Lepisosteus oculatus: one gene and its partner. The protein of the gene in region 2 purifies or fractionates together with the protein of the main gene of each other region. This does not show direct contact. Links are inferred from orthologs where the notes say so. Each region holds a gene or a part of one and is shown on either strand. Other genes may lie near its edges.

Region 1 (8,007 bases), on a different chromosome or scaffold from region 2:
TCCCACTAAAAAAAAAACAGCACCTGCTACAGTTCTTGTGCCTATGAAGGACATATATTACCACTTCTTGGCCACTCTAAAAGAAAAAAAGAAAGTCATCAGCCTACAGCTTTTCATCTTTTCATGGCAGGATCACACAGGGGCACTAGCTGGATTTAAATGCAGAGCGATCACGAGCAATGCCCAGATAGCTCTGTGTGGTCCCCAGTCCCACTACAAGAAGAAAGTACTCAAGTGACCAAAATTAAAGGCAGGGTTATCTTACCCTCTCCAGAGGGGAACCTTTCCTCTGAACATCACGCTAGCCATCACTGCCATGAGGCATGCCTTTGAGAAATGTAATCACTTAATTAAGCCAGCAACTCCTCCCCGCCTCCACAAGCCCAGCTCCCCATCTGGGGTCAGGGTAATTGCTAAAGGCTGGGACACAGCTGTAAACCTTATTCAGAGAGAGGCGGCACGGTCAGGCCCCACAGTTCTCTCCCTCGCATCCAGGGGCTCCTGTGTGCTGTGTGCAGGGCACTGGGCAAGGGTGATACAGCCGGCAGAGCTGTCCTGGTGCTGGAACCCCTTGACAGCCATTTAACAAACACACAACCATCAGGGCACTTCCAAAGGACATCTGAAGAACAGTTAAGGCTTTGTATCTGTGGAAGCCAGTCTCCAGTCCCCCCCCCCCCAAGAACTCTGCAAAGGCCAAATTCTTTTTTATTGTAAATCAACTATACAATCATGTTAATTAGTGGAACACCTTTGAATCATCCAATTTACATGTAATAATAATAATAATAATAATAATAATAATAATAATAATAATAATAATTGCTTACACTTATATAGCGCTTTTCTGGACACTCCACTCAAAGCGCTTTACAGGTAATGGGGACTCCCCTCCACCACCACCAATGTCTCTCAGACCCTAGAGAAAATGACTATTGCAGACTCCTGAAAGGACCGTTCTAGTCCCTTCAGTGCTTGCTTAGCAGATTGGGAATGAATTCAGTAACGCATTCACAGAGCTGGCTGGAACAGACCTGCACAGAAGCTAGGAGCTCCGCATCTGTACCTCTGATGTATACTTCAGACACACACACACTTGTGAGGGCAGCCCTGTTGGAATTCTACAGTTCTTACAAGGGGCTTGACACAAAAAGTGCTTCTAGCCAGCAGGAAACACATACATTACACACACACTACATATATATATATAACTGTGCTGTTTGTGCAGTTACTTAGAACTTTAATGCAATGGGACTACAGGAATGAAGCCCCCCAATGGAATGCTCTCAGGATCAGGGTTGGACTGATCTTTCAGTGAGCATCTCATGAATTAGTCCTAACAGCTCACACTTCCATCTGTGAAGGGCTTGTGGTTTCCACGGGGAGACCCCAGTACAGTCATTCCCCTCCCCCCACTAGTGTGCCATGCAACCTGTCAGCTAGATGAAGCAGTACAGTATCTACAGGTGCCTACACTTCCAGGCAGAGCGCCAGTATTCTAGCATGGCGGGGGAACTTACATAAACGGGTTTCATTACGTGGGCACTCATGGGACCTTACAACTATGAAGCTACAAGCTGCATAAACCCCTATTAACTTAATGAGCGATGCTAGATATCGGACGGCAGTACACTGCAGAGGCTCTTTACTCATTCTGTAGCTCCATCTCTGGAGGAGTAATCGGATTTTCACAGCTCTTGCCCCCTCGGGTATCCAGTTGAAATGGAATAAGTAAATTGCCGTGGTCACAAAGGGCAACAGTTCTCGATAATTTCCCAGTGAAATGTTTAATTAAAGAAAAGGGACTTACAATTTGGACAACTGAACATCTGGAAGTGCTCCCCAAGTTACTAAACGAACCTTCGCCTGCGAGTGTGTGTTTTGCTCTTCGTGTGGCTCTGGTAAAAACAGTCTCCTCGCCCGGTCCTGCGCGAATTGGCTGTGACAGCTGAGCGACGTTTGCGTTTTAGGTTAATTGACAACCCGGAACGACGATTAATACCAATTAACGCAAACTGCAACCAAAACAAATGGCAACGTATAATACATTTTTACAAGTTCGTCTGGGTATTTCGATAGCCCTGCCTTTTCAAATGAGGGCGCATTCTGAGCCCAGCAGATTGCGTTTACGCTTTGACGCGCCACCCCGCCTCAAAGTCAAGTGAAATTGTTGGAAACTAAACTAAATAAAGGGAAAACAGCCTACTGGCGGGTTAACTCACAAAATAAGGGTTTCCTAGTTTATTGCAATAGGATATTAAAAAACGCTTTGAATTCCAAATCCGGACTGGTTGTTAGCAGTTTCCAGTTTTTCCTAACCAATTCTAAAGCAAACGTGTGAAACTTGAAATTCACAGACCAGGAATTTAGGTAAAATATACTTGCAATTATACAGCTGTGTATAAACAGTAGACGACCACGTAGATTTTTACAGATTTCAGATCTTCCCGATTTCCGAATTGCAACTATAATAAATCGATATTTTGTGTTAATTCTTTAAAAACACTGAAAAGGGTTTGAACAATCAAAAAGTTGGATTTTTCCCCGCTCACGAGTGACTTTCAGATAGGCTATGCGTACATTCACAAACTTGTTTAAGCACAATGTTATAAGCAATGAGGCGATGTCTTACTAAGCTACACAGAAATAAGTCTCTCATTAAATATAACACGTACTTGCTTAGCGGAAATATTGATAACTGCACCGTATCACCCCTCAATAATTTATTAGCAACAAAAAAACCAACAACAGCGTTTTGCTTTTTTACCTTCGAAAGTGACTTTCAGAACTGTGGAGATCCAGGAATGTGAAATGAAACTATATCCACAAGTACGAGAAAAAAAAGGTATTAAATCATTACAGAAGGGGATTTAGGCTAATTAAAAAGAAAAATCTTCTTCCTTGATGAAAAGAAGAATTTGCAACTTCTGCAAATAATCACAGAGGCTACTATTCGTCGAAATTAATTCATGGAGACCAGTATCCCAAATATGTACCCAAGAGGACCAGACCCTGAGCACCCATTCTAGCAATGAATGATTAGTGAACCTCAAACCCCACTCTATATACACCGCTCCACCGCGCTTCCCAAGATAACAGTAACACCCGGACTGGAGCCGGCTGGGACCGACGCATCCTTTATTTCAAACTCCAAAGTCCGCTAAAATTAAATATTCACCTCAAAACGAAACCGGCCTTGGCGTGCCTGTTGCAAACGTCTCCATTGATGGTTTAAATGTTTATTTGTGCGCTTTGAAACGTTTTTTTTTAATACTAAAACTAGAGGCCAACCAATTTGAAAAGCTCTGAAAAGATGCCTGAACTGGTTAATCCACCGCTTGAAGTAATTTTCCTAGCAACTCGAAAGAGGTCATTTATTGTTACAAGGCTTGCTTATTAAATCAGTCCCTGGTTCAATCTGAATTTTCTGTTGCTTTTTTCTTCCGCTGTTTAATTCAGCAAACCTGTGGCACATTCCCGTCCCCACCAGACAATGTCTTGTTCTAAAAATAATAAAAACCACACAAACTTCCTAAAATATCACAACAGCTCGTCTTGCAAGGCTAATTCTTTGTGTGCAAACTATTTATGCTCACAACGGTTTGAACATTTACCAAGAACCCCGTGTCAATGTCCCACTTCGTGGGTGGGTTGGAAATTGATTTAAACTCATCGCGCGACAGAAGAAGGACTAGCCGGGTTTTGTAGTCAACCATACTGTGAAAGTGTGCAGATGTTCGCTATTTACAAAAGGTCTGGATAATCAGCAGTTCAGTAACACTTTACCTCGGTTATTGACTAAAACACAGAGCCGTGACACAGGTCGTTCGACGTCTCACCACATAAAAAACAAAATTGATCAGTTCAGGTGTCCACTGAACCCGATAACAGCTAATAATAATAATAATAATAATAATAATAATAATAATAATAATAATAATAATAAGTCGCTCCGGCATTTTACCAAACAGAAAAAAAACAATGAAATCATTTTGTTCCGCATTAATTAAACTTCATTTCTAAATACATGTAATAATTTAAGAAAGCACTGAGAGAAGCGCATATAAGCACAGTATTTTTGTATTGTTTTTTATATTTTTTGTTAGGTATGGGGTTGAAGAGTAAACTCGTATGCGGTTATTTTTACAGTACCAAAATAATGCTATCCATACATTTTAGGAATCGCTGTTGTGACGACTAACATTTCAATTACAGTACAAACATTTTGAAAAGGTACTTCTACAAAGAAAAACTCTAAAACGTTATGAGAAAATTCAAAGCTCCTGTAGTTTTCATTCTGTATTAGTATTTGAATAAAACGCTTTACAGATACGTTTTGCAAAGGTGCATTATTCATCATTGAGCGTTTCATACAAAACGTGGATGACATTAACGACACGACACGACCCCTGCGATATTTTCACATTTTTTGATTAACCTTGACTCAGTTTAACTCATTAATTACAAGAATACTCATTCCTCACGGAATTATACAGCGAACTCGGATTTCACTCCGATGCTTTCAGCTTTTTGTCAGTTTAACTGTCAAAAAAAAGCACAGCTGGCGTATTGTGCGAAAGACTCAACAGCCATTCAGTGTACAAACAGATTTGACAATTAACGCTCGATAGAAAAGACGGAGAAGCTCAGCTCAGGGATGTCTTTCCCTTATGGGAAAACATATGCAAATCGAGGAAACCGTTTTCGGTTTTCCAGACTCTAACCTGAAGAGTCATCAATAATTACTTTGTTCCAGAAGTTATTTCTGTATTCCTTCTGCTAACACATTAACCGCCGGAAGACGTGTGACAATGAGACGAGCTACAGAGCAAATAACAGAATAATTAATAATGCATTAAAAAACGGAAATATAAACACAGTATTGAAAACACGATTTTCGGTTAAAATAAATTAGACACCAACATGTTTTCAATAAAAATACGCCAATCTCTTTCTGAGACTAACATTTTTGCAAGAAATCTTATCTACAAAACTAAAGAAAAAAACGTTTCTTCAAAGCTCTCCTATAATAATAATAATAATAATAATAATAATAATAATAATAATAATTGCTTACAATTATATAGCGCTTTTCTGGACACTCCACTCAAAGCACTTTACAGGTAATGGGGACTCCCCTCCACCACAACCAATGTGGATGATTTACCTGGATGATGAGACAGCAGCCATAGTGCACCAGAACACTCACCCCACATCAGCTATCAGTGGGGAGGAGAGCAGAGTAATGTAGCCAATTCATAGAGGGGGATTATTAGGAGGCCATGATTGGTAAGGGCCAATTGGAAATTTGGCCAGGACACTGGGGTTACACCCCTACTCTTTTCGAGAAGAGCCCTGGGATTTTTAATGACCACAGAGAGTCAGGACATCTCATCCGAAGGACGGCATTAGGTCCCACATGGACTGCAGGGTGAGCTGGCCCCACTAACACTTCCAGCAGCAACCTTAGTTTTTCCCAGGAGGTCTCTCATCCAGGTACTGACCAGGCTAACACCTGCTTAGCTTCAGTGGGTTGCCACTTGTGAGTTGCAGGGTGATATGGCTGCTGGCCATATATATACTGTAGCTGTCAGATTAATGATTGGATATGGAGTTTGTGCGAGGGCTGCCACACACAGGTTGGGCTGATTCTCCATGCCCCTGGCTTTAGCATTAAAACAAAAGAACTGGATTTTGCATAAAAGCTTTCAAGGAAGCTGTTCCAGAGGCTGCTCTCTGATGAGATCAGGTGGGTCTCACTTGCAGTATCTTTGGCCATTGTATATATACAGTAGGCAGAACCTGAGGCTTGACTGGAGGATCCAGTCTGTTGATGGTTTATCGGCCTGAGTGGGATGGAAAGGCCTGCTGACTTGCTTGTAAAGAAAATAATTCCTTTTTACAGGTAATGGGGACTCCCCTCCAGCACCACTTATGAAAGATGTAATGGAAGCAAACGTGTGCCAGTCTGCTCACCAGACACCAGCTATCAGGGGGGTGGAGAACAGAGTAATGAAGGCAATTCATAGATGGGGATTATTAGGAGGCCATGATTGGTTGAGGCCAGGGGGAAATCTGGCCAGGACACTGGTGTAACAGCCCTACTCTTTGCAAGAAACAGCCTGTGATAGAGGGATAGAGCAGAGGAGCTCCCTTTTCTCCCGTCAGTGTTGTGCCGGCTTGCTGGGTATTAACTGGCGTCAGGTGGGACCCTGGCCCTGAGAGGAGAAGGCCTGTCTCCCCAGACTCGCACAGACACAAGCCGTTTTCCAAGTGAAGGAACAACAGAGGACGCTGTCCGTGTTTGTCACAAAGCTGCCTGGAGGACCACCTGCACCTGCTTTCCCAAGTCAACAAACATTTAGGCCACAGCTTCCAGTCTGTGGTCAACTGTGGGACGTCTCCCAACAAGCTTCCAACCACCAACATTCAAACCAGTGCAGCGTGACTAGGCCTGTTCCCTAATTTCTACTGTATATGAACTCTTTTCTATTTCTTAATTCCCCCCCTGGACTGCATTACTTCCAAGAGTTTTAATCGCATAATGCTGCCAAATGTTTTTAAAAAATGAATTAATGCTTTCGGAATTAAGTCCTGCAATGGAAATGGAGCTCATCCTGCCAAATCCTGCGAGATGCTGCCTGAGGTTACTATGCACTAACACCAGGGACATCTCTCTCTCCAAATAAGGGCTATTATTATAAGTCACATTCCTAAACATATTGTCTCAGTTTTTCCATAAACCCAGTAGGTACAGTCTGCTGTGGCACTGTGAAAGACTGTCAGGACTAGACTGTGATCATGCATCTAAAACTGACAAACTAAGAAAACTGATAAAAAATAAAACAACTTTACTCTGAAGCTCAGAAGTCAGCACGGTTTGAGGGGTTTCATAAAATCCAAAGCTTTTAAGCATGGTGAAAGATAGTAATTAGTGGAATTAAATAGCTGAGATCACAGGTAGTATAGAAACCTAGAACTACGCATTGCACTGGTTCTTCAGATGAGATGTTAAACTGAGATCCTGACTGATTGTCATTAAAGATGCCAGGGTATTGTTCATAATAGTTCCACTCTGGTCTTTTACAATCTGACCTCACTAAAGTTACTCCTTAATTCAGCTGGTGAAGCAGCGTCTCATTTCACCAGGATTGCTGTCCTGTGGTGCTTCAGTGCTTTATGCAATGGATTTCGTCCTATTTCCAATTAAAGTACTTTTGATCCTTAAATATCGGAAGCTCCATATTAATGCAAACAATTATTACAGTTTAAGATGGGTACCTGGGAGTGAATAGGACAAAAGCTAAGACAGCAAGCTAACATTTTTCTTCTGTGGAATGTCTTAAGAGTTCATATGAATTCAGAAGACAGAATTAAGGAAGTACACATGAAAGAATTCTGGAAAGCTTAGTCATCATTTCTGTTTATCCGAATGTAATTGAGGAGAGCAACTGATATACCACATAGACTATCAGTTAAATCTTAAGACCACCAAAAGCAGCTGAATCTGGCGTTCGAAAAAATACATTATTCCACAATTCGTCTTGAGTGGTTTACAAAACCTTAAGAGAAGTTTATCCAGAATATAACTGTAAAAAATGAAGAAAAACTATACTGGGATTAGTAGCAAGCATTTCCACTAATTGACCTGAAGATCTGGAACTTTTATTACTATCATAGCTTATTTGGTGACCGCATTCATTTTTAACCCTCTGGCTGAAGGTTATGAGATTATTTTAGTTCCAACAGACATGTAATAAAACACAACACAGTTACATTACTGTTTTTATAAGAAATCTATTTACACTGAAAGACAACATGCAGTTTTCAAATTTGCAGGAACAAATCAAAAACATATTTCACATCTTGACATAAAAGAGGAACTACAGTATAACAGTTTTAAACTATAACATTTTAAACAGTTTGGAAATAGACAAACACTTGCACGCCTCCCCATATGAATTAAACGTTTTAATAAAACTGCATTTTGATTAAAGGAAGGCTTCT
Region 2 (7,295 bases):
CCTCGTCGTCTCTTTTTCGGATTTGGCGTTCAAAACTTCCCCTCCCCTCCTCCTCCGGGCGTTTTTTGGGTTGTGTTGTGGTGTTGCTCCTTCACAGATTTCGGCTCCTAGCTGCTGCAGCAGTAGTAGTTGTAGTAGTAGTGACGGGAGGAGGAGGAGGGGAGGAGGAAGAGAAAGTCTCCGAGTCGCTGGGAGAGAGAAAGGCCCTCCGGATTAACTCATGTAGCTTCCTCGGCGCAGATCAAGATGTCCCGGGCAGGGTCCTCCAGGGCTCCGTCTGCGTTTTCTACCATCTCCGGAGGCCAAGGCGAGAGATAATCTGAATTATTTCCCTTTTTGTTGTTGTTGGTGGTGGTGGGTAGGTGGGTTTGGGGAGGGTGGAAAAAAATTAAATGAAGAAGGAGGGGAGAGAGAAAGAGAGAGACGAGGTTAAAAAAAAGTCGCACCCGAACGAGGGCCAGGAGGTAATTATTCTTCACAATACAAAACCCCCGACGCCATCCCCACCCCCCCGTCCTGGAAAGGTAATACTTGTGTTGGGTTTTTTAAAAAAAAATATATATATTTTCTTTCTTCGTAAAAGGGCGCACGCCGGGTTCGGGCTCGGTTCGGGACGGGCTGGCCCTACGGGCGCCCAGGTCGGTCACACCCCACCTCCCTCCCCTCGGACCCGCCTGTACCCCCCAACTCTCTCTAACACCCCCCTCACCTCACACGAACAGCTGAGACCGGCTCAGAGAAACGGGAGCAACTTCCGATCAATGCGCATGATCACACGCACATCTGCCGGCGGGTGTTAGAAATTGATTAAAAAAAATTAAATAAAGTCGATTTCTGTGAGGGTACGACAAACCGGGCGAACGACTTAATCGTCTCCCCGGCGTGTCGTATCGGCGCGAGTGGGATGCGATACCTTCCGAGGCGCCTCCCGATATCTGTGATCGATATGAAAAAGTTGTTGTTTTTTCGTGGAGCCGCGCTTCACGCCGTGTTTTTTTTCAAAGCGGGAATGAGGGCTTCTTTTAAAAATGTTTGGGAGACCTGGCCGGTGAGGATGATCGCCTCTATCGATTGCCAAACTCAATCAAAGCGCTTGATTGAGCTGCAAGGGCTGAAACTTTGGGTGGTGGTGGTGGTGGTGGGGGGTCAACTTTGGCAATGTTTTTTATTTTTTTAAAGTAAAAAAAAAAACCCGTTTGTATTTCTTGCAGCTTTTTTTTGGGGGGGATCGATCTGCAACGGAAGTTCACAACACCGGGCCGCTACGCTAGCACATGACCAGAGAGGAAAGGTTTGGCATGCCCGGTTTCAAAAACTGCAACTTGGTCAGGGCGCCCCTCTCTTTTATTAATTACCACAACAACAACAACAACAAAAAAAACCCACTTATTACAAAAAAAATAAGTGTTTGGTTTCACTCTAGTGATGTCAGCGGCGGGCTAATGTGACTTTGTTTCTCGCATTGTGACGGTCAGCAGTCTTTCAGGGGTGGAAAAAAAAACTAGTTGTCACAGTATCGATCACTTCGCGATCTTGCGCCCTCTCTCTGTGTAATATGTTGGAATTAAAAAACAAAAAACAAAACGGGGTTCAGATATGATTATTATGATGATTATTATTAGGTTTTTTTGAATGCCACCTTACAAGAAAGCGCAGGTTGACGCCGGGGAGAGTCTTGGTTATGACGGACGCAGATGCACAGGTATCCCTTGTTATCTCACGGCGTCTGGGCCACGCCAGGGCTCAAAACGGATTTTCAATCCACTGTTCTTCCTTGGTTCCCAACACAACTGTGGAAGAAGGAGCCGCCGTGCCGCTCCTGCCGGTGCGGGGTGGCCACGCTTGTCCCGGAGCCCAAAAACACGCACAAACTGCGCGCAGGACGGCCGCCACCGGATTCAACCCGCCCGGCAGACACCGGCACCGGGGTGGGGGGTCTCCGGCCGCACAGGAGGAGGAGGAGGAGGAGGAGGGAGGGATGGCCGGCGTGGTGCAAACGGGACAGGTCGCCTCTCGTCGGTCCTCTCCAACGGCGCGATGTGCTGGGTCCCGGCGATGGCGAGGAGTCGGTGCCCCCCCCCGGCGTGCTGGAGTCCGGACCGGGCGGATGGGAGATGGGGGTGTCGCTGCTATGATTCAGGGGGTGAACTGAGCGAGCGGCGGGGCTGGGGGCATTTAAAGAAACCCGGGAGTCTCCCCTCCACGCCAGCAGAAAGGAAAGCGCACGTCCCCCCCCCGGAGTCTTTTGTGTGGTGACCCTCAAACCCCCGTCTCTCGCCGCCTGCCTGCGGGGTCGATTATATCCGTCTGCTCCCCCCCTTTTTTCTTAAAAAAAAAAAGCAATCCTTCGTCTTCTCTCCGCTCTCTAACGGTTGGGGTTCCCGTTTCGCCGATATTTCCTCGTCTCCTCTCTCTCTCTCTCCCTCCGTGTGTACGTCTGCTCGTATGTCTCCCCCCGCTCGCTCGGTGGAGGAGGAGGAGGAGGAGGATGAATATTATTTTTAATAATAATTCTTCGTCTCCGGACGCGATGCGCTTGTATTTCTCCACCACCGCCGCCGCCACCAACCCCCCCCCCCACTTCCAAAAGAATTTTTTTTTCCCTCCCGTCGCCTTTTCAGCGTCCCTCCGTTTCTAAAACGCAGAAAATGCTCCCCAGCTTCCGCTTGTCCTCCGCTCCGCGTGAAAAGAGAAAAAAAAATCCCCCCTTCTTTCCTTCCTTGGACGTCTTAAAAGCGGATTTTCTCTCCCTTCTTCTTTTTTTCTCTCTCCTCTCTCTCTCTCTCGCTCCTCTTCCTTGTCCTCGTCCCCGACTCTCCGTTTCCGCGCTGTGCCCCCCGTCTCTCGCCGTCTTCTCCGGGTCCACGCTGCCGCTGTGTCGGCTCCGGGCTGGTCGGGCGGCCGCTCTCCGGGTCGCTGTGCTCGGCGCTGTGGTCGCTCCCTCTCTCGGGTCTCTCCAGCCGCGCTCGGTCTCTCCGCGCAAACAAAATGGCGGCTTGTTGTTTCTACTCCTCCGACACGGGAGCGGAGGGGGGGGGAGGGTAAGCTAGAGAGCAGAGCGGCGATGTATTCGAAAAAGAGGAGGAGGAGGCGGGGGGGTTGTGTTCGGGAATTTCCGGAAACCCCCCGGACTCGCTCTTTTCCGGAACGGCGCTAGCGGGTGACCGACGCCAGGGGGCGCTCGAAGATCACCGTCATCATCATAATTGCTTACACTTATGCAGCGCTTTTCTGGACACTCCACTCACGCTGTACGCTGTACAGGTCGTGGGGGATCCCCTCCACCACCACCACCCTCCATCCCCCACCTGGATGATGCTCCAGTCCGCTCCCCACACACCAGCTCCCAGTGGGGAGGAGAGCAGAGTGATGGAGCCAGTTCAAGAGAGGGGAGTTATTAGGAGGCCATGATGGGTAAAGGCCAGGGGGAGATTTGGCCAGGACACCGGGGTTACACCCCTAATCTTGTCGAGAAACAATGTGGGATTTCTAACGACCACAGAGAGTCAGGACCTCGGTTTTACGTCTCATCCTAAGGTCTCCCCTCCAGGTACTGGCCAGGCTCACGCCAGCTGGGAGCTCTGTCTGCTTATTCTCCCAAAATAATAACCCCCTCCCCAACACCAGTTACCCCCTCCTGCAGCCTTCCTTGGGTCCAAACTCTGGGGAGATCTGCACCTCACTGTCTCACCATCCCACCTGCAGTTGGTACAGGCGCGATGCACTTAGAAAAAGTTCATTTGAGGAGGGGACACATCGCTCAGCAGTGGACAGACGAGTGTGGGACCGACAGCTGTTGAACACTCAGTTCAACTGCTGCTGTGAAGGCAGGGAGCATGACAGAATCACTCCATGTCTCTGTGTGTGAGTGTTCAGGGTTCAGTAAAGTCCCTGTAATGTACTGGTGCGGTACCTGGAGAATCTGGGGAGACAGGAACTATAAAAAGAGGGGGGGGTAGGGGGTTCTATCAGGGGAGAAGGGAGGGGACCCACATAGCCCCGCCTGGGCAGGGTTGAGGGGGCGTCAGTCCGGTGAGCCAAGCCCAGTGGACAAGGTCAGCTGTCCTGTGAGAGAATGATTCCTCACACTTCTACAGCACCCTTCTGGACACCCCACTCACAGCGCTGGACAGGTCATGGGGATCCCCTCCACCACCACCAATGTGCAGCCCCACCTGGATGATGCTCCAGTCTGCTCCCCACACACCAGCTCCCAGTGGGGAGGAGAGCAGAGTGATGGAGCCAGTTCAGAGAGGGGGGGTTATTAGGAGGCCATGACTGGTAAAGGCCAGGGGGAGATTTGGCCAGGACACTGGGGTGACACCCCTACTCTTTTCCAATACACCCCGGGATTTTTAATGATCGGAGTCAGCACCTTGATTTTACACATCCCCCGAAGAACAGTGCCTTTTTACAGTACGGTATCTCTGTATTAGCTGGGTATTGGAACCCAATATCAAGGTCTTTGAAAGATCGTTTCTAAACACAGACACAGCCCTCGCAGCCCGCACCCCAGAACGCAGAGCTCCGAGCATCCCACACTTTATTATTCAGGGACAGGCACACAGACCCGGAGACAGGGAGACCAGGAGAAGCCGGATCACAAGAGTCCCGGCCTCTCGGACCGGCGCAGCCGAACCGGTAACACAGAGCGGTGAGCCTCAGTCCTCACGGGTCCCCCCCCGGGATCCGAGGAACACCCTGACGTCAGAACCCCTGGGATTCGAACCCACCACCTCCCGGGTACCAGCCCGGAGCCCCGCCTGGACCGGCGCCGCAGAACTCCCGGCTCGGCTGCCCTCTGCCCTCCCTCCCCGCCCAGGAGCGGGGCGCGGAACAGCCCCTCGGGCAGCGCGTGAGCGAGGGTCCCGCGGGGGGGGCGCCGTCGAAGCTTTCGCGAAAGAACCGTTTCGCTTCGGTTCGGGCCCCGAAGAAACCTGCACCCCCTCTTTCCAACCGGGTCCCCCACCCCCCCGGGCCCGTGTAATCAACGGGGTGGGGCTGCCGGGTCCTGAGGCGGTCAGCGCCACTGACCCGATCGTCTCTGAAACGGAAGATCCGTGCGGCGCCGTGTCCACCGTCCACGACTTGACCCAGGGGAGCATACCGCGCGGGGCCGAAGCGGGGCGCGTTTAAAAAGTCTGTGTTCCTCTACCAGCTGCTCTCCTTCACCCCATCCACCCCCCCCCTGCCCCGTTAGTCCCGGTCACTGTCGGCAGGCCCTCTCGATCTCCTCCATGGTTTTGGGGGTGTTGGCGGACAGGACCAGGGGACCCTCCTCCTCCTCCCTGATGAGCACGTCATCCTCGATCCTCACGCCCATCCCTCGGAATCGCTCCGGACAGCTGCTGTCATCCTCTGGGATGTACAGACCTGGGGGAGACAGAAAGGAGACTGAGACTGAGAGAGAGAGAGGGGTTCATACAGACACACTGACTGGACACTCCAGTACATGAACACTGCACTGAGAGAGAGAGGGGTTCATACAGACACACTGACTGGACACTCCAGTACATGAACACTGCACTGAGAGAGAGAGGGGTTCATACAGACACACTGACTGGACACTCCAGTACATGAACACTGCACTGAGAGAGAGAGGGGGGTTCATACAGACACACTGACTGGACACTCCAGTACATGAACACTGCACTGAGAGAGAGAGAGAGGGGTTCATACAGACACACTGACTGGACACTCCAGTACATGAACACTGCACTGAGAGAGAGAGGGGTTCATACAGACACACTGACTGGACACTCCAGTACATGAACACTGCACTGAGAGAGAGAGGGGTTCATACAGACACACTGACTGGACACTCCAGTACATGAACACTGCACTGAGAGAGAGAGGGGTTCACACAGACACACTGACTGGACACTCCAGCACATTAACACTGCACTGAGTCTCGTACCCAGTTCGATGGTGATGGCCATGCCAGGGCGGAGCGGTTGTGCCCGGGACAGGTCAGGCGTGTCGTGGACGTCCATGCCCAGGTAGTGCCCCACGTGGTGAGGGCAGTAGCGCCTGGCTGCCTGCAGGGGGCAGAAGAGAGAGAGAGCACGCCGCCGTGTCAGAGAGGCAGTGGGACACGGGCCGTCTCCCCCAGCGGAGGAGAGGACTACAAACCCGCTGTCCCGAGCTGGGCGCTGGCACAGAAACAGCTGCCCGCAACACACCTCCTCCGAGCAGCAAAACAGAAACTCGACACATCGGTAGCTGCCACAGTGAACATCCGAACATCAGGGGAGCAGAAATAAGACACAGCAGTAAGTGTTGTCCAGGGGCCTGCGTCTGGCTGCCTGTCCAGCTGGCATAGGGGCCAGACTGGCTGCCCAGACTCCCCTGGTTTGCTAGCCGTCTTGTGCATCGCGCTAAAAAGCTGACAAAGTAAATAATCATCTCTAGACACAAGGACGCTGTACGTGGTGTTGAAGACCAGATTAAACAAAAAGCACGATTAAAAGTAAACGGGGAAAAAAAAACGACACCGGAACACGCAGGGCAAGCCGACGAGGGCCCTGCTAGAAAGGGGAGTTTCGAGTGGAGATCTGAAGAGAGGCAGAGACTGTCTCTCGTGGGGTCGGGGGGGAGGGCTGTCCGTCCCGCTGGAGCAGCGACTGACCGGGCTCGGCCACCGCTAGGCCTGGGCGCAGCGAGGAGAGGGCCAGCCTCCGCTGCCCGGAGCCTACAGGAGCAGTTCAGACAAGCGACTCAGAGCCCCAGGGGTCAGGGACAGGACCTTGTCGCGCCTGCCGGGCTTTGACGACCCCAGTGCGGGGGGCGGGGGGAGGCGCTGGCCAGGCCTGGAGTGAGGAAGAAGTGGAGGTGCAGCTGACAGAGGAGGGTGCTGGGGAGCCCACACAGGGGAGAGCTGTGGAAATCGGCCTCATGTTCCAGTATAAATGCACCAATCAGGCACTGGGCATCGGACACGGAGAGAAACTGCCTGATGCCGGCAATATCTCTATAGGGTCCGAAAAAGACTTCTCAATCAAAGTCTTCTCAGGGCTCAAGAGACAGGGGGGGATCGAGTGAGACTCCCGACGACGGATGGGGGAGCAGTCAATATGCCACGGTCCAGCGGGGGGCGCTGTAGTCACCCGCTGTGTGTTACGGCGACGGTGCACTCTGACGCAGTGTCCAGAAAGGAGCCGACGCTTAACCGCGCAAGCGTGTCGGCGTGACAATCCCCACTGAAGTACCGCGGCCGGCCAGCGGGGGGCGCTGTAGTTACCCGGTGCGTGTCGGCGTCGCCGGCCCTGGAGCTGACGATACCCAGGTCCTTCAGC

The links. The genes of interacting proteins can lie anywhere in the genome.
Region 1: the proteins of ep300a (region 2) and cited1 purify together in Homo sapiens (affinity purification with western blotting; 3 studies listed by BioGRID and IntAct, with this or other methods). This does not show direct contact. The link is inferred for Lepisosteus oculatus from reciprocal best matches to the Homo sapiens genes EP300 and CITED1.

The regions. Positions count from the first base shown.
Region 1 is NC_090703.1:40,622,526-40,630,532, forward strand, and holds the start of cited1 (cbp/p300-interacting transactivator 1), read right to left. Parts: upstream 3,017-8,007; 5' UTR 2,768-3,016; intron 2,399-2,767; exon of another isoform or gene 1,811-2,398; intron 1,551-1,810; coding exon of another isoform or gene 1,503-1,550; intron 1-1,502. Other genes in the region: rps4x (small ribosomal subunit protein eS4), read right to left, coding at 1,503-1,550. UniProt on the Homo sapiens protein: Transcriptional coactivator of the p300/CBP-mediated transcription complex. Enhances SMAD-mediated transcription by strengthening the functional link between the DNA-binding SMAD transcription factors and the p300/CBP transcription coactivator complex.
Region 2 is NC_090707.1:38,059,139-38,066,433, forward strand, and holds the start of ep300a (histone acetyltransferase p300), read right to left. Parts: upstream 3,019-7,295; 5' UTR 1,645-3,018; intron 333-1,644; 5' UTR 1-332. Other genes in the region: xpnpep3 (xaa-Pro aminopeptidase 3), read right to left, coding at 5,207-5,373, 5,918-6,038, 7,241-7,295. UniProt on the Homo sapiens protein: Functions as a histone acetyltransferase and regulates transcription via chromatin remodeling. Acetylates all four core histones in nucleosomes. Histone acetylation gives an epigenetic tag for transcriptional activation.